Linked DNA regions of Arabidopsis thaliana. The protein of the gene in region 2 interacts with the protein of the main gene of each other region in a pairwise test. Each region holds a gene or a part of one and is shown on either strand. Other genes may lie near its edges.

What was found.
Region 1: the proteins of SWI3B (region 2) and AT2G25650 interact in binary tests that used the Arabidopsis thaliana proteins (3 or more experiments, as listed by UniProt).
Region 3: the proteins of SWI3B (region 2) and SWI3C interact in binary tests that used the Arabidopsis thaliana proteins (3 or more experiments, as listed by UniProt).

Annotation. Positions count from the first base shown.
Region 1 is NC_003071.7:10,912,280-10,916,996, reverse strand, and holds AT2G25650 (DNA-binding storekeeper protein-related transcriptional regulator), read right to left. Parts: upstream 2,487-4,717; 5' UTR 2,233-2,486; coding exon 1,996-2,232; intron 1,915-1,995; coding exon 991-1,914; 3' UTR 781-990; downstream 1-780. Other genes in the region: emb2410 (embryo defective 2410), read left to right, coding at 16-288, 395-541; AT2G25640 (SPOC domain / Transcription elongation factor S-II protein), read right to left, coding at 3,089-3,289, 3,517-3,576, 3,952-4,072, 4,306-4,717. UniProt on the Arabidopsis thaliana protein: Probable transcription factor. May play redundant roles with GEBP and GPL2 in cytokinin responses by regulating the transcript levels of type-A ARR response genes. Involved in stress responses.
Region 2 is NC_003071.7:14,227,081-14,232,631, reverse strand, and holds SWI3B (switch subunit 3), read right to left. Parts: upstream 3,661-5,551; 5' UTR 3,610-3,660; coding exon 3,447-3,609; intron 3,353-3,446; coding exon 2,943-3,352; intron 2,857-2,942; coding exon 2,446-2,856; intron 2,092-2,445; coding exon 1,965-2,091; intron 1,877-1,964; coding exon 1,746-1,876; intron 1,651-1,745; coding exon 1,483-1,650; 3' UTR 1,224-1,482; downstream 1-1,223. Other genes in the region: CRL2 (NAD(P)-binding Rossmann-fold superfamily protein), read right to left, coding at 4,134-4,266, 4,442-4,631, 4,727-4,892, 4,967-5,152, 5,226-5,395. UniProt on the Arabidopsis thaliana protein: Component of a multiprotein complex equivalent of the SWI/SNF complex, an ATP-dependent chromatin-remodeling complex, which is required for the positive and negative regulation of gene expression of a large number of genes.
Region 3 is NC_003070.9:7,619,221-7,626,291, forward strand, and holds SWI3C (SWITCH/sucrose nonfermenting 3C), read right to left. Parts: upstream 4,947-7,071; 5' UTR 4,759-4,946; coding exon 4,743-4,758; intron 4,605-4,742; coding exon 4,074-4,604; intron 3,548-4,073; coding exon 3,009-3,547; intron 2,853-3,008; coding exon 2,495-2,852; intron 2,403-2,494; coding exon 2,329-2,402; intron 2,134-2,328; coding exon 2,048-2,133; intron 1,953-2,047; coding exon 1,885-1,952; intron 1,784-1,884; coding exon 1,608-1,783; intron 1,512-1,607; coding exon 936-1,511; 3' UTR 781-935; downstream 1-780. Other genes in the region: AT1G21695 (hydroxyproline-rich glycoprotein family protein), read left to right, coding at 1-565; OGG1 (8-oxoguanine-DNA glycosylase 1), read left to right, coding at 5,219-5,862, 6,080-6,290, 6,407-6,649. UniProt on the Arabidopsis thaliana protein: Component of a multiprotein complex equivalent of the SWI/SNF complex, an ATP-dependent chromatin-remodeling complex, which is required for the positive and negative regulation of gene expression of a large number of genes.

The DNA.
Region 1 (4,717 bases), 3.3 Mb from region 2:
ATCTCCCTTTCGCAGGCTGCAAAGGTGTTTGAGAGCCAATTAGCAGAATCCATATTAGAAGGAGATGGACAACTTGCTTTCAAAAAACTTGCAACCGCAACACTTGGAACCATAATGCCAAGGATAGAAGGAAAAGGAGAGTTTGGTCAGGCGAGATGGAGGTTGGTGTATGCTCCGCAGATCCCAAGTTTACTCTCTGTTGATCCAACTGTGGATCCTCTCAAGTCTCTGGCGAGCAACATATCATTTGGAACGGAAGTTGAAGTGCAGCTCGGAAAACGTCTTCAGGTCAGGCATAAACATTGAAATCTTCTTTCTTCTCCATATGGCCTCATTTTTTTCAAAACCTAACCAAAATAAGCACTCCACGGTTCTTGCTGTCTTTTATCTACAGGCCTCTGTGGTAAGACAGATGAAAGATTCTGAGATGGCAATGCAATGGACACTTATTTACCAGCTCACGAGCCGCTTGCGTGTCCTTCTGCAATCTGCACCTTCCAAACGTTTGCTTTTTGAATACTCTGCTACATCACAAGACTAAATCCTTTTGTCTTCCTCTGTCGGATTCATATGGATATAAGCCGTTTGTTGCAAAGGAAGTGCATTTTGGAATAGCATGGTTTTGGTGACTACCGACAAGAAAAATTATTTTATTATTTGGTCAGTCTTTCTTTGTGCACTTCTTCTGGCCTTTTAGTGGTTAAAAATGTAAAAATTACATTGTAAATGCCTTTTGTTAGGGAATGCATATAAAATGTTTTGCCACTTCATTGACTGATTGGTGCAACAAGAAAGTAATGAAATTTATTATATCCAACAATGGACATGGATGGCTCTTCTGGATACTTCAGTTAAAACTGGAATGTCTTACAAACACTTGCCCAAACAGAACAAAGACAACATCCAAAGATATACACTGAACAGACTAAAGCTTATGGCTTACTAAGAACCTAATTAACACCAAATGCTACAACGGCTTATTGGTTTCATCTAACTATCATTAGCTGCCTCTGCAAGCTTGGCGGAAAATCTAAGCTTCTTGATATTCAATCTTCTTTCCTCAACACATAACGCTTTCCATTCATCACTCAACTCTCTTCTTTTTCCAGTTCCAAGGTTCATCAGCTTCTCAAGCTGCAACTTCTTTTGATAACCACTTAAACCTTGCGACATTACAGCCTCAAATGCATCCTGCACAGCGCATAACTCATCATCATCATCGTCATCATGTCTCTCTTTTCCACCAGTAGTCCCGTTCTCTGTTGTTTTCGCTGCCCCATTCTCATTTACAAGTTCAGTATTAGCCACTTCCTCATGCTCCTTCAACATCTCCTCACTCTCGCTCTCGCTCTGCTGTGCTATTTGAGTAGTCCCGTTATTGTCTCTTATATTCTCTGCACCATTCTCATTAAAGGGTTCCTCATGCTCCTTCAACATCTCCTCCTCGCTCTCGCTCTCGAGCTGCTGTGCTTTCCGAGCAGTCTCGTCGTTGTCTCTTATCTCCTCTGCACCATTCTCATTTAACGTTTCCTCATGCTCCTTTAACATCTCCTCCCCACTCTCGTTCTCCTGTGCTATTCGAGCAGTCCCATTTTCAGCTGCGCCATTTCCGTTTACATCGTGCTCCTTCACCATCTCCTTATCCATACCATCATCATTACCAAATTCACCTTGTCCCCAAATCATCGAAGAAAATCCAAAGGCTTCAGAATCACTAGACCTAGTAAATTTCGGATCATTCCCTTCACTGATTTTCTCCCAATGAACATGAAATCTCCTTTTCAACTTCCTGATCTTACTCAAAACCTGCTCCTTGGAGAATTTCGCAACGATAGAACTTCCGAGGAAACTGTAAAACGCATCCCAATCAATTTTGGGATTGAATCCTGTCTTAGCTCTGTAATCAACTAATCCCTGAGAAATTTCGAATCTGGTTTTGAGAAAATCAGAATGCAAAACCAAATCAAAGTGTAACGGAGAAGATGAATAGAATACCTTTAAGATAGAGAGCTCATCTTCCTCGTTCCAGATCCGGACGATCAACGGCGGACCCAAATTCTTCTTCTTCTTCTTCTTTTTCTTCTTCATAGTCTCTTCGCCTGCTTCTGCTGCGAAGGAAGCAGCAGCACGCTTTGAGGAAGGATTCCGTGGAGATTCTCGATGGGAGAGGGTATCGTCGGAGTTATCACCACCACCACAGGAAGAGAAATCGATCTGCTTCGGAGTCACCATGGTAATTGCTTTACACTTGCTGATTCTAGAGGCATGCAGAGAAACCCTAAATCAGGAAATCATATTAACAAAATTGATCAGTGATTCCCAAATTTTCACGACCTTTAAAAAGTGAAACCCGAGAGAAAAAAAAGCTAGTCTTTCCAAATTTCTGAATCGAGCTGGTCAAAAAATATCATGACTGAAATTTTCTCTGCACTTCTGTTTTATAGTATAATCGATAGGAGTGGATTTTGTTACTTTTGTACTTTTTGTTACAGAAAGGAGCAATATATTAGCGGGCTGCGCAAGCCCATCTTACTAATAAAGTGCCAAATATCGGTGACTGTTGAGAGAAAATCACAAAATTTGGAAAGCAGTGTTGCCTGCAACAGAAAATGCATAACAAACACAAAATTGCTAAGGTGAAACAAAAAACAATTAATATCCTCCTCTGCCATCCTGATGAGACCACCACTCACTACATGGTCTAACCATCGAGCCACCATTTACATGAGTAACCCCAAGAGTCCAGTTAGATTGAGGCTGCCACTCTGGTAGTATATCATTGTCATTATCATTATAACTTTGGTTCCTCAAAGGTTCAGATTTTCCATATTTTTGAATAAGCTCTCTTACAGATACAGACCGGCTTGTCCGGTTCACGACAACATCCCCACTGGAAAAATAGTTAAATTCAGGCAAGTCATCATCTTCATCCCGAGCCATGGTCATTGGGCCAAACCCCGGTGGCACATCATCACCATCGTCATTGTTGACCTGTAGCATGTTACTGTAACGAGAAGTATTATATGTGGTTAACGAAGAACCCTTTTCACGGTGGTTCTTGTGAGAGTTGTTAGATAGTGGTGATTTTTTAAATTGTGTGTCTTCTCCATACAACAACACCTATAAGACCATCATCATTTATAGATTTCAAGAAATCGAGTTGGTTTCTCGGAACAATCTTGTTTAGAATCTCGACAGTTCTCCCACGGGTTGGGCATAGGTATAGCTCAACTCCTGAAGCTGGTTCTGCATAACCCACCCTCCCATCTTTAGCGTATGAATCCACCACCTGTATAGTAACAAAACCAAATGCCCAAATTTCGTTACCAAGTTAGACATTCTACAGATATTTAGGAGTGTTTCAATTTAAATTCGGTTTGGGTTTTCAGTTTGTACAGATTCGCGTTCAGTTTTGATCAAATAAATCATTAATATTCAAATAAATCTCAAGTTTTTTTAATCATCTTTTCGTTTATTTGGATACACAGAATCTTGGTTAACTACCAACGCTCATACCTCGGAAATGTTCTCTTGTTCTGTCTTTGAGCACTCTTCTTTGCAGACGAAACACATAACCTGTAACACGAAAGCAAGGTTTCAGAAGTACCATGATGGATAAACGAGTTCATCACATACATATAGAATCGAGAACAAACAGGTCTTAGTTTTATTGGAATATGGAGGCCTATTCAAGAAACATAAGCTATGCAATTGTTCTGGTGAAAATATTTTTGTAAGTCCATCTATCTCCATTGTGATTCACAGATGTAATGTATTTTTCTCAATCATTCACAAATCAGTATTGGCCGTTAATCTCTCCTCTTCTTTCCTAAATGCTTCTACTTAAGCTTGGTTAAACGTCACAGTTAATAGCTTTTGCAGGGGCTCAAACACAGAATGCGTATATAAAACATGTACATTAATGATAGAGGTAAACGTGTAGACAAATACCATTACAGCACGACTCCTGGAATTTGGGAGCTCTCGAACAAACTTCTCAAATGCATCTAATCTGACTCTACCCTTAATCTCGAGCAAAATAGGCCACTCTTTTGTAGTAGTCTTTTCGCCACTGTGAAGCGTAAAAATCAGGTTGGTAAACATGGTATCAATAACAGCGAAGCCATATTCATTAAAAAAACATTTTATAGAGCTGATAAGCACTAGAATAGTATAGATAAGTAGTAACATGTAGACTAAATAAAGAAAGCTATTCATATATGCAAACCTAAATTTGGAAATGTGGAATAAAAAAAAAATACTGAGATAGGTTTGCTACCACTCATGAAACAATTTATTACAAACCTTCTTAGAATGCCGATGACAGAGCTCACAGTAGAAGGACTCAGCTGGAGCACACCTTCCCATAAACGTTCACCATCAGGTATGAAAACAGATGTAGTTTTGGATTTCAAATCAGAACTAGGCTTTGACGATACTATGTCAGCATCCTCAGCGTTAACAGGTGATGATGCCTTAGCCGTAAGTGGTGACAATGCCTCAGCCTTAACTGGTGATGTACAAAGATCAATATTAGCACTTTCTTTGGGTGATGAAACTAAAACCTCCTCTACATCATTATTATCTGAAACAGAAGGTTTTTTCTCAGTATCTGAAGACAAAAAGCCAGACGGAGATTCAGAATCTATGGATGACATGAATTCATCAAGAGAGACAATTGGAGGAAGAGATCCAGTGGCAGCCTGCATCTCATCAT
Region 2 (5,551 bases):
AAGAGTTCCGTCACGCAAAAACCGGCTTAATAATCAAATAGTAAGATTGTTACCTATGACATATGACACACGTACATATATTAAATAAAACCTAAACAACAAAGCTAACTTTCTATTAATGTGCCTCTTTTTTCCAATCAAACTTAATATTTCATTAATAAAAAAGCTTAACCTAGATAAAAAGAGAAATAGAGGATACATCAAAGGTACAAGGAACCGAACCAACCAACACAACAACCAGCAAAGTGATCGCATAAGAAAAAAAAAAGCTAAAACTTAGCAACAAAGCTCAATTAGAGACATGCAGATAACGAGATAAAGGCTGAACTAAAAAATTCTACCAAAGCAGAAACTAATTATAAAGGCCATCAATAAAGTAGTTATGATAAGTTATTTACCTCTATATATTTTTATTTTTTATATTGGGAAATTGTTTAGAATGCAGTATTAATATGTACATAATATATTATGGTTTATATTTTGAATTTAAGATGTAAATTGATCTTTTTAAAAAGAAAAAATAGAGTTTAAATATTTACGAAGAATGGATATTTACTGAATTTTTAGTTAAATATAAAAGATTTTATATTGTACGAGTTTAATATATAAATAAATTGGGTTTGGTTTCCCGATGGGGAAGAAAGAAAAATACACTCTCTTTGTTTCTAATAAATTGATGTTCTACCACTTTTAACTTGTCCCACAAAAAAAACATTTTCGTTTTTTCTTTATTTTTTTTAAATATCACTCACTCCTTTCTAAATTAGTTATGTTTTAGAAATTAAATTTTGTATTAAATTAGTTATCGTTTTATATTTTCAATGCATGTTTTTGAAAGATTTTCCAAAAGAAATTCTTATTGTTTTGGCTGATTAATTGATGATATGATATTAAATAACACATTAATTAGAGATAAAACAGAAAATTCAATGTTTTTTTAGTTTGTCTGAAAAACCTGAACTAGTAAAGTTCAAGATAAAATGATTGAAATTTGTTAGACTGCTATTGGTTTATAGTTATTGAAAATGTTTAATATAACAAACAATACAGAAATGATTAATTAATGACTGTTTCTTAATATAAAAACCATCACTCTTTTAGCAACAAAGAGAGTAATCATGTTACGGAGATACAAAAAAAACATCGGTAACTTAACAACATTTGAAGATTAACCTATTTAGTGAAAACAAAATCTATCTTTTATATCGGATATCTCCAAAACCCTGACATTTTCTATTGTTTCCAAAAGAGCAAAATTAATTTTTAAAACTTTTCCACTTGTGATTGCCTGATAAAGACAAAAATTATACTTCGACGCAGTTGCCATTTGGTTTTGACTTTTATACCAACCCAGCCTTATTTATACCAATTCGATCTCATCTCATTTTGTTACCAACACATCTCAAGTACACTACAATACAAGTCATCTTCTTAACCAGACAAGAATCAAATAAGAAATAACAGTTTCAAATTAAGTGCGTTCTAACACTCTATTCTATCTTCAGTTTTCCGGGCTTTTCTGGTGTGGAAGAAAATGTTTAATTGATCAACGAAAAGCAGATTCCTCACCTCCTCCAATTGTTTCCGGCTTCTCTCCATTTCCAAATCCAATTTCTCGAAATGAACAATCCTATCTCGGATCTTCTTCATCTGTTAATCCCAAATTTTGTTTGTTCCAACATAAATCATCATTGAGTATAACCATATAATAAAAAGTCTATGGAAAGTTGCAGATTGTTACTAACCTCAACTTCAACAGTCTCTTTGATTGCTCCTTCTACCTCATGCTCTTCCTTCTCAATTAAAGACTTTGCATCTGCCCAAGCTCTTTCAGATTCGTTTCTAGTGGTTTCACCACTCGATGCAGCATTGGCATCTGTGTATCAGGAAAACAAAACTGTCACTATTGGGTTTGGCTTAGGACAGAAATGGACTGCAAATAGAGACAGCTTGGTCTTTGATACCTTGTCGATTTGGGTCTCTACTGGCGTTTTTGTCAGCCTCGTAGTCTACATCAGATAAAGCTCTCACTGCCGCTCGAGCTGCTGCTTCTGCAACATTTGTGCCAGCCAAAGCTGAAAGAAAAGCAGCCTGAAGAGGACATGATAGGATAAATCTTATTCAGAGACAGCCAATGAAGCATAACAATTGAGGTGTGATAACACAGTACAGAATTATCTAACACATATTTGATTCTTAAATGCCTTATATATGTCAACTAGGGTTTGTTATTACTAGATTTCAAAGTAAGCCCCACAAGGTATTCTAGATTTAGGTTCTTTAAGGAGACAAAAACGCAAGTCGTGGAACAGCCTAGTGCAGACACTGGACTATTCTTCAGTAGCCTAACAATGTAAAAGCATTTCCACGCATGTTGAAGACTTATACAAATAAGATTAACATAGAGAGAGAACGCAACTACTCAAATTGTAGTGTCTTTCTAACCTGAGCCATTATTGGGTTGCTTGCATCTGCAAGAGGTGTTAATTTGATCCGCTTGTTGGGAGAAGAACCGTCTTTATCTATTCCTTCAGATTCAGGAATATCAGAGTCCTTGATCTGATCAAACATCTCTAAACCATCCTCAGAGTCAGACTCTTTTACAAACTGTTCCCCAAACGGAAGCTTGACAAACTGAGAAACACAATCCTTCTCCGTTCTACCAATAACATGCGATGCAACCTTCTTCCAATCATCTCCATAGTGCATAACAGCTTCCAGCAGCAGCAGAATTTCCTTATCAGACCACTCTGGCTTTGACTCCTCACTAATCTCAACTCGTTTAAACTCCGAGGAGTTAATACCAACACGATAATTACTACGAACATAGCACCTCGCACACAATGTCAAGTCATACTGAAAACAAAAATGTACATAATCATTCTAAGTGACAAACTCAGTGAATGAAATTATTACTATGGCTACAAATTATGAAATCAAACCTTATCACAGGCGAAACAAGCTATGCTGCAAATTGCTTTGCAGCCATTGCAGTTTCTCTTGGCAGTTTCTTTGACAGTTGTGGCTGGCTCAGAAGCAGCATCTCCGGCGGATTTTCCGGCCTCTTTTTCTTCCCACTTGAGCGGCTTAGCAGAGGCGGAGCTATTATAGTTGATAAGTCCCCATGAATCGAGGAAATCAAAGACGCGACGAATAGAGACAACATCACTGACGAGAGTTCTCCGAACGTCAGTGAAACTAATCTTCCGAGGATGGTCGTCTCTGTACTGCTTAATAATCGAGTTCCTCAAGTAGAGATAAAACTTAGGGTTTTTGGATGAAGATCTCGAATCGAAAAATTCCGGCAGTGACCGGACCTCGCAATCGTTAATGTCGGTCCATGAAAACCAACCTAATTGGTTAAATAGACGGTACAAGTACAAAATCCGTAAGAAACAGTGAAGAAAGTAGAATAAATCAAAGTTTTCTCGGCGTTGCAGACTTACTGGAGTAGCTAGGTACGTGAATATTATCGATATCGGAAGAAGAAGACGGCAATTGAGCCGACTTAGAAGCTGCTGCGGCGCCTCCAGACGTAGTTTCGGAAAGAGAGGGAGTGCTCGGGAGAATTTCCCCAGATCCGCCGGGATCGGGAGCTTTCATGGCCATGACTCTCTGTTTAACTAACGCAACTTCGCCGGAGAAGGAAGAGGGAAAAGAGAATCTAGCTATCGAGATGGGCAAAGTTAAAAAAAAAGTCGGATATCTAAACGGGCCTGGTTTGGGCCCTAATACAGGTCCATTAACCTGGCTTTAGTTGTTAAATATTGCGAATGTTTTTTTAGTCCCATGGTCAGCCAAGATGTAGTGCATCTGCTACGCTAGGCTTAGAGGTTAATTCGAATGGTGAAGTTGTGCGTTACTGATTTCATGTATTAATGGTGAAGTTATCCTTTGTAAGTAGGTAGAAATTGGAACGTATCAAAGAGATATTGGAACATAGTTATGGAAGGAGTAATTGTAGATTGGTCATAAAAGTAATGGTGTCTAAGAAAGTAACAAAAACTCAGAAGTTCATGATGGAAAATATGTTGCACAACTCTTATTCTTGAGTAAAAGATGAAAGAGCGTGTGCAGATAGGAACACTTAACACATGGACCCAAAACACTCATATGCTATTCGTTCCCAGTTTTCAGTCCACAAGCTTAGCTTTGCGGTAGCTCTCAACAGAATCCACAAGTGTTTCCTCCAACGGCCGGTAAGTCCAACCCAACTTCTGCAACTTCTCTGAACTCACCTTCACTTTTCCATCCGCTTCGATGTATCTGATATTGGATAAGTAGAATTTAGATCAAAGGTAAGGTCTAAAAGAAACTTCAGAGACATTGATGTAAAGGTAAGTGACACTGTTTACTGATGAAAGTAACAAAAACAGCTTATTAAGGTTTAAAGGTTTTCACTCAAATTGGGTAGAGAGATGTGCAGCTGTTGTTTGCTTACCTCTTTGGGTAGTTGTAATTTAGATAAAGACTTTTCAGCTTCTCAGCGACTTCTTGTTCCCTAACCGTGTGGCCTATGCAGATGTACCTTCCTTCAGCTTCTGCTTTCTCATAAACCAAAAGTAAAGCTTGAGCCACATCACGCACATCTACCAAATGCCGTTCTTGGTTATTACGCGATTCATAACCCTCTGCACCACACTTAAGTATAAAATCAATACCAACTCATATACCAAGTTGCTGCTTCTAACAATCCCAGATGAAATGAGAGGCTTGTTTATAATACCTTTAAGAAGCTTGAGAAGAACAAGGCTACTAGCATTTACTGTGTGCTGCTGCAATACAGGTCCCAAGACAAGGGTAGGGCAAACACTGACGAGATCAAGTCCGGTTCGTTTTGCAAATTCGAAAGCTTCACTTTCTGCTCGTGTCTTTGACAAAGAATACCAATTCTGCCAGAGGGACGAAAGTCAGATTTAAAAGAAGAAAAAAAAGTGAGATGAGGGATTCAAGATGCATTATTAACCTCAGTTTTTTTGCAATAATCTTGGTCAGACCAAGCGGTCTCATCTAACACTTGACTCTTTGACCACATAGGGTTCATAGCAACTGCAGATACAGAGGAAACATACACAACACGCTTAACTTTTGCTTCAACGCATGCCTTAAGCACATTCAGCGTACCATCCACTGCAGGTGCGATCAAATCTACCTGCAAAACCAGTGAAACCATAGTGAGACAATGCATATAGCCACCAATGAGATTGTAAAAATGAAATCCTCACCTCAGGATTAGGGACTGAAGCAGATGGAACAGGGCAAGCGACATGGAAGACGCCGCTGCAGCCAGCAATAGCAGATTGAAGAGAGCCGTAGTTGAGCAAATCAGCCTTGAAGAGCTTGAGTTTGTCACCAGCTTTATCAAGCTTCTTCAAATGAGCATACTTTTCATTACCTATAACAAGAACCATGCGAAACTCTTCATCAGAACAATAGACAAACTCAAAAGGCTTAATCTTCTGTCTGTAGACAGAAACATCGGAGCTACAAAAAGAATTGGGAATAGAAAACCTTAGAAAGTAGACGAAAGAATCAATTTTGACCAGGCTGA
Region 3 (7,071 bases), on a different chromosome or scaffold from region 2:
TGATGATGATCCAGCTCTTCTTCAACCACCTCCTCCTAACAAACTTCCTCCTCTCAAATTAAAATCAACTCCGCCGTCGAATTCGCCATCTCCGTCGTCTTCTTCTTCTTTCTTCTCTGAATCCAGAAGCCGACCAGTCTCTCCCTTCGCTCCTCCTCCGTCTTTCAAGCTGAAATCGCCTTCAGATTCCGACTCCAACTGTTCAGCATCTCCGACTCCATATTTCCGATCTTCTTCTCCTCGTGCCGGTGGCTCATTGCCTCGGTGTTTTTTTCCCAAGTCATTATTTGGGTTGAAAAAGAGTAAGAGCGGCGATTTAAAAAAGACCGGTCAGCAGGAACCATCATCAACAACATCGGAGTCTGACAATTTCTATGAATCGGGAACAACGCTTTCTCCGTCGGAAGAAGATTCTAGCCAGGGATCGCCGGTATCTTCGAGGTGGAGTTCGCCGAAATCGTCCTTCTCTTCTCGCCGTGGTTCGCCGCTAAAACGGACTGATTCGGATTTAAGCTCTTATGAGAAAAAAACCATGTTAATGATAGCTCGTTCCCGCCTTGGTTAAATGGTTAGGCTTAAAAAAAAAAAAACATCTTAGAGATTAATCAAATAAAAATGATTTTGAGTTTTTCATTGCGACAAGAACGAATATGTTACATGTAGATTTGTAATGAAATTGTCTATATATTATCGTCAAAATGAATCGAGTTAAAAGACCCCTAATGTTTGAAGAGTAGAGAAATGGTTGTGGGAAAGAGAGACATTAAGATTGGTGACTGTTTTAATTCACAATGATGATGATGATGGTTTGATACTACAAGACACTAACTTGGAACAAGACTACGGTCTCAAAGCCAAATAACTTATCTTTAAAAATAACAAGGTGAAATAAATATGGATACTGATAAGCTAAATAAGCTAGAGAAAGATGGATCTTAGTTTAAGCCTAAGCCGGACCCTGAGCCTGAACCTGTGGAAGACCTAACCATCGGGTGACTAAACGAAGGCTGGTTGATCGATGCTGCTCCAGCTGCTGCAGGGTTATTTAGTTGGTTGTTGCCAAACATGACGTTTGGTGAAGCTGTTGATCCTGCATTGGTCTGTATTGCATTGAGAGGTAATCTCGGGCCAAACGAGAAAGCTTGCTGTTGTTGTTGTTGTTGTTGTTGTTGTTGTTGTTGTTGTCGTGCCATGAAATGCATCTGTGCTTGAACTTGCGGGTTGTTGCTGAATCCTGGGATTATGCTTGGTTGAGAAGTTGCGGAAGCTTGTTGTTGCTGATGTTGCTGATGCATGAGAGAATTGATGTTGTTACCACCTGTGGATAGAGACATGCCTTGGAGATTATTAGTCTGTGGAGAGATTCCTCCAGGAGATCCAAATCTTGCTGAGAGCATACGAGCCCGTTCTGCAGAAAATCTCTGACGGGTTTTCTCTACTTGTTCGCATTCTTTCATCAACAGTGTTTCAATTTCTGCGAACTGCTTTAATTTCAGCTCCATCCTCTTCAGCTGCGGTTTTTACTCAGATCAGCAATAAACACTATACAACAAAATAAATCAACTACCTACAGTAATTCTCATCAGCAACTGGTTCTGCTATTTTACCTGGTGATTAACGATATTAGCAGAAAGTCTCTGGATTTCGCGTTCCTCATGATCAGCAAACAATTTTGCTTTTGTTGCTGCAGCTGATAGACCGGCTCTAAATGCTGCCATAACCTTATCCTGTGGCAGTGGAGTCTGCGCTTCTGCTCCGTTTTGGCTTGATGTTTTGTGTGCTCCTGAGTTTTTTTTACAATTAAAGCATGTTGGTGTCGCAGATTAGGTTAAAACAAAAGAGCAAAGAATCACTGTAAAGAGAACAATCAAATAACTTCCTTACCATCTTGCTGTTGATTTTCTCCATCAAGCAAGCTGGCTTCTTTCCCTTGCATTCCCTCAGATTTCATCCTAGATCAAGAAGTTTCAGAATAGTCCATAGTATTATTAAACTGAATCACACTACAGAGAATTTATATTGGATAGAGACTATATAATACACTAACCTATCGTCCTCAGATAAAACCGAGAGGGATTCATGGGCACAGGACGCAGCAACTCGAGGTCCAACAGCTGATGCCAAAAATGCAACCTAAAATATTTTGGTATCAGGATCCTCATATCTCCAAACTTATGTGCAATACAGGACCATTCTCCACTCAAAATATGCATACAATTGAGCTCTCAGATATAATCGATTCATGGATCAGAGATATCTCTAACTGGTGAGATCATAAGGATAATAAGAAGCGCATATGAAATCTGCATCGGAAAAAAGTTCACAAACCAATGCCATAACCGGATTCGGAGACTTCACAAATGGAAGCTTGATCTCAGTGTCAGAACCTTGCTCGGAATATCCTGCAGACGCAAGCGGACAATTAGTATGGCATGTCAAAGGAAATAACTATGGAAAGTAATTCATTGCTACAAATTGAATAAAACAAAATCACCAGGTAAATCCCCATTTGAATCTGTTCCTTTGTGGTCATATCCATTTGTAGGGTTTTCCGTATTAGTTACACCAGAAACCTCAACATTATCTAATAGACCATCCTCCACAGGTAATCGAAGAAAATGAAGAATGCATTGAGCTTTTGACTTGGAACCAACATGATCAGCAATTTGAACCCAATTTTCATTGTAGAGTTCCACAGCTTCAAGAAGCAAGAGAGTTTCCTGATCAGTCCAATTGTCTCCATCTTGATCGCCATAAAATTTCATTGGATCCACTCTTACAAAGTCAAGACAAGAATGTCCAACAACAAATCTTCCATGGTGAAAACAATCACAGCATAAGAGTATATCCCCCTGTAAAGTAGAGATGAAGATCCTTTAGTTAGAAGCGGTCCAGTATCCGAGACAGTAAGCAAGATAAAGCTTGGAGTCTATTACATCACTGGGTGCAAAAAAGAATCAGATAATGATACACAAAGAACAGTACGTAAGGGGAAGCAGCCTAAGAACCTTCTTTTGCGATTGGAAGTACACAGTTGGAAGCGGTCGAGAACAATGGTTGCAATGACTATCACATAGGTGTTCACGAATTCTGATGTCCAAGTCAGGGCTGTCACCATCCAAACTTGGCAAGGATGAATAGACTTCACCCCCCTTGTGTCTACAGTTGGGCTTGTCAAATTTGATCAAACTATCAATAGATGTTAAAGCAGCAGACGGCACATTGACCTCGCCATTTGTGTCCTCCCTCACATCCGATACATCTCTCAAAGGGCCAGGATGTGACTGGGCAGTGGCACAGTAATTGATTATTCCCCAGTGATCAAGAAAACGGAAAACTCGTGCAAAATCTTCAATGTCAACACCATCTACCAATCCTTGGCAATCAGAAATCGTCAGTGTCTTTTCAGGGTTCTCTACATATTTGGAAACAATGGCGTTCCTGAATTCCATATAACTTTCGGGTGTATGATTTGGCGATTTCCCAGAGAAAAACTGTGGCACCACTTGCCTTTCAAGTCGATCTACTGTGTTTGGTGCAAACCAATCTGCTCAAATGTAACAGCAAAAGTAGAAGAATAAATTCGAGCATTGGGAACAAAAATATCAGAAAATAAAAATAAAATAAGAGGAGAATCTCGATATATTTGAGCCATAGGACTCCAGGAACAAAACCCAAACGAATTAGAAGAACATCACTTGCATAGTCTATTCAAGTTGTACTTCTGAGATAAGACACCTAAGGCTACTTCAAGCCAGCAGGTACTCTAATTTATCATGTACAAAAGTTATAATACCTCTTCCTTTCCATCAGACAGAACATGGGAACATAGAGAAACATCTGATATGAAATTGAGTCGCGTTCAGATTAATGTAAACTAAGAACCAGGCACTAGACAAAAGGAAGATAAGAACTTATACGTTAAGGAGATACCGGCATACAAACCTGTTTTGACTAATTCTCATTCCAATCACAAGATATATACTACAATACTACCAACCAGCAAAAGCTGATGCTGCATAAAGCCTAACCTCTAACATAAATGCGCGTATCAAGAGGAAGAAAAAACACACCTGAATGCATAGGCAAGACATGAACCAGATCCCCAAACCGTTTAACAACTCCTTCTCCATCCATAATAGGTGGTGGAGAGATAACATAAGCCGAAGACGATCCATCACTCCTCTCAAGATCAAGAGAATCAGCAGGTACAGTAGATAACGCTTGCAATTGCCCAAACGAAATGTTCTCCAGAGCTGGAAGTGAACCTTGCCCTCTAGTCTCCCCTATCAAACCAGCTCTCTCAGCCGCCACAACAGCCATTACAGACGCGTGTGGCCGGATCACAACACGCTTAACCACTGCCGGGAAATCAGAGATGCGCGAACCAGAATCTTCAACTACCTCGCCAATACCAAGTCCCGGATCGGGAGTTGCGCCGCCGTTTTGCTGAAGCTCATCGGCATTTTCAACGTCATCCATTTCTTCGTTGTTGTTGTTGTTATTCTCTTCGTCTTCTTCCTCCATATCTTCCTCCTCTTGTTTCGGTTTCCTCGCCGCCGATAACCCCCCTCTCTTCTTCCTTTTCCATTTCCCTCTTCTATCTGCGACAGAATTGTAAAAAGTGTAATTCAATTCACACGAATTCTCGAAATACCCATCACTACGATCTATGTGGGTAAGTCAAATCCCAATTTAAATTTGGATTTTGAGAGAGATAAAGATGTGAAACAGCAATTTACCTTCAGAAGCTGGCATTTTTGTGGATGAAGATAGAGAAATAGAGGTTTTGGGTTCTGTGGAATCGAAGCAAGACCCTTAGTAAAAAGAATTGCTTTCTTTGTCTTCTCTCCTCCGAGTCGTTCTGATTTCCAGCTCTCGAGCTAAACACCAAACCTTTTTCTCGCAATTTCTTTCACCATTTCCTTCATTAATCTCTATATATTAATTCATTCTCCACGACGACCTAACCTTCTCGACAAACAAGAGGGTTCTGATTTCGAAATTCAAGCTTCGTTGACCAATCCAAATTTTGGTTTAACTTCGGTTAAAGTCAACTTTACTTCGGTTTTATTTTTCAATTTTGAATGAGAAAAACCGAATCAATTATTTAGTTCGGTTCTTAAAGTTCAAATTGGTTAAACCGGTTTAAATTGATACATTAGTCGACCGTCGCGCATTAATACTGGTGTGGTGGTTCCGTTAACGAGCAACGGCGATGAAGAGACCTCGACCTACATCTCAGCCGTCGATCTCTTCCACCGTCAAACCACCACTGTCTCCGCCGGTCACACCGATTCTCAAACAGAAGCTACACAGAACAGGAACACCTAAATGGTTCCCGTTAAAACTAACCCACACGGAGCTGACGTTGCCGTTAACTTTTCCGACGGGTCAAACATTCCGGTGGAAGAAAACTGGAGCGATTCAGTATAGCGGAACGATTGGGCCTCACTTAGTCTCTCTTAGACAACGTCCAGGAGACGACGCAGTTTCCTACTGCGTCCATTGTAGCACAAGCCCTAAATCCGCGGAGCTTGCGTTGCTCGATTTTCTCAATGCTGAGATCTCGTTAGCTGAGCTATGGTCTGATTTCTCGAAAAAAGATCCTCGTTTCGGAGAGCTAGCGAGACATCTCCGTGGCGCTCGTGTGTTGAGGCAGGATCCGCTCGAGTGCTTGATACAGTTTTTGTGCTCATCGAACAATAACATTGCGAGGATTACGAAGATGGTGGATTTTGTTTCGTCTTTAGGGTTACATTTGGGTGACATTGATGGATTTGAGTTTCATCAGTTCCCATCATTGGATCGATTATCTAGGGTTTCTGAGGAAGAGTTTAGAAAGGCTGGTTTTGGTTACAGGTGATTTCATCACTCTCTAATGGTTGCATTATGTTGAATTAGACATTTAGGCTAAAACTTTGCTTGAAGCTTATACTTTTATTTACTCTGTGGCTATACATTCATAGAATTGAAGCTAATGTTTGGTCTAAGCTAGATAATCATTGTGTGGCCGTTTCTCTGATTGGTTCTGATCTCATTTGAAAACTCTCATTCTGGTTTATCTTGTGGTGAGCAGAGCCAAATACATAACAGGTACAGTGAATGCTTTGCAAGCAAAGCCAGGTGGTGGTAATGAATGGCTTCTTTCTCTGCGCAAAGTCGAACTCCAAGAGGCAGTTGCTGCGCTGTGTACATTACCTGGTGTTGGTCCGAAGGTAGCAGCTTGCATAGCTCTGTTTTCTCTTGATCAGCATAGTGCTATTCCGGTTGACACACATGTCTGGCAGGTAACAAAGTCCATCGGTTTCTATGTATTGTACTTACTTAATTGAGATCCAATTACATAATGGTGATGATGACTTCGGGCAACTTTTTTTTTGTTCTGTTTTGGATAATGGATCAGATCGCAACAAATTATCTACTGCCAGACCTTGCTGGTGCAAAACTGACACCTAAACTCCATGGCCGAGTTGCAGAAGCCTTTGTGAGTAAATATGGTGAATATGCTGGTTGGGCTCAAACATTGCTTTTCATTGCCGAGTTACCTGCACAAAAAACTCTCTTGCAATCGTTTTCCCAGCCCATTAACAAACTGGATGAGTCTGCAGAAGTTAATGAAACTAGCTGTGATACGTTGAAGCCATGACTATGTGTCTACCTAAGCTACGAGGAATCGTTTTCACAACCCATTCTTGATGCGTCAAGTCCAGAAACTTGACCTTGGAAGAGCTAAGAAAATTCTGAAGCTGATGCAGTATTTGGCTCCCTGGCAAATGAGCGTAGTTATTTGTTATGATCATTGTTTACTAAGGAACCAATCTTGATATGTACTTGTAACTTTACATTCAAACTTCCAAATTAAATTCTAATTGTTTGTTCCCTTTGCAATTCTCTTGATTTGAAATGAGAATTTTTTCCTTTTATCTATTTCTTTTGTCAAAAAACAAAACTAAATTTCGTCGAAATTAAATTTCTATAAGAAGCCCAATAAAGCGAGGCCTAAATTAGGCCCAAAATACTATTGGAGGCGAAAAAGAAAGTCCGGCTGGATTTTCCTCCAAGCCACCG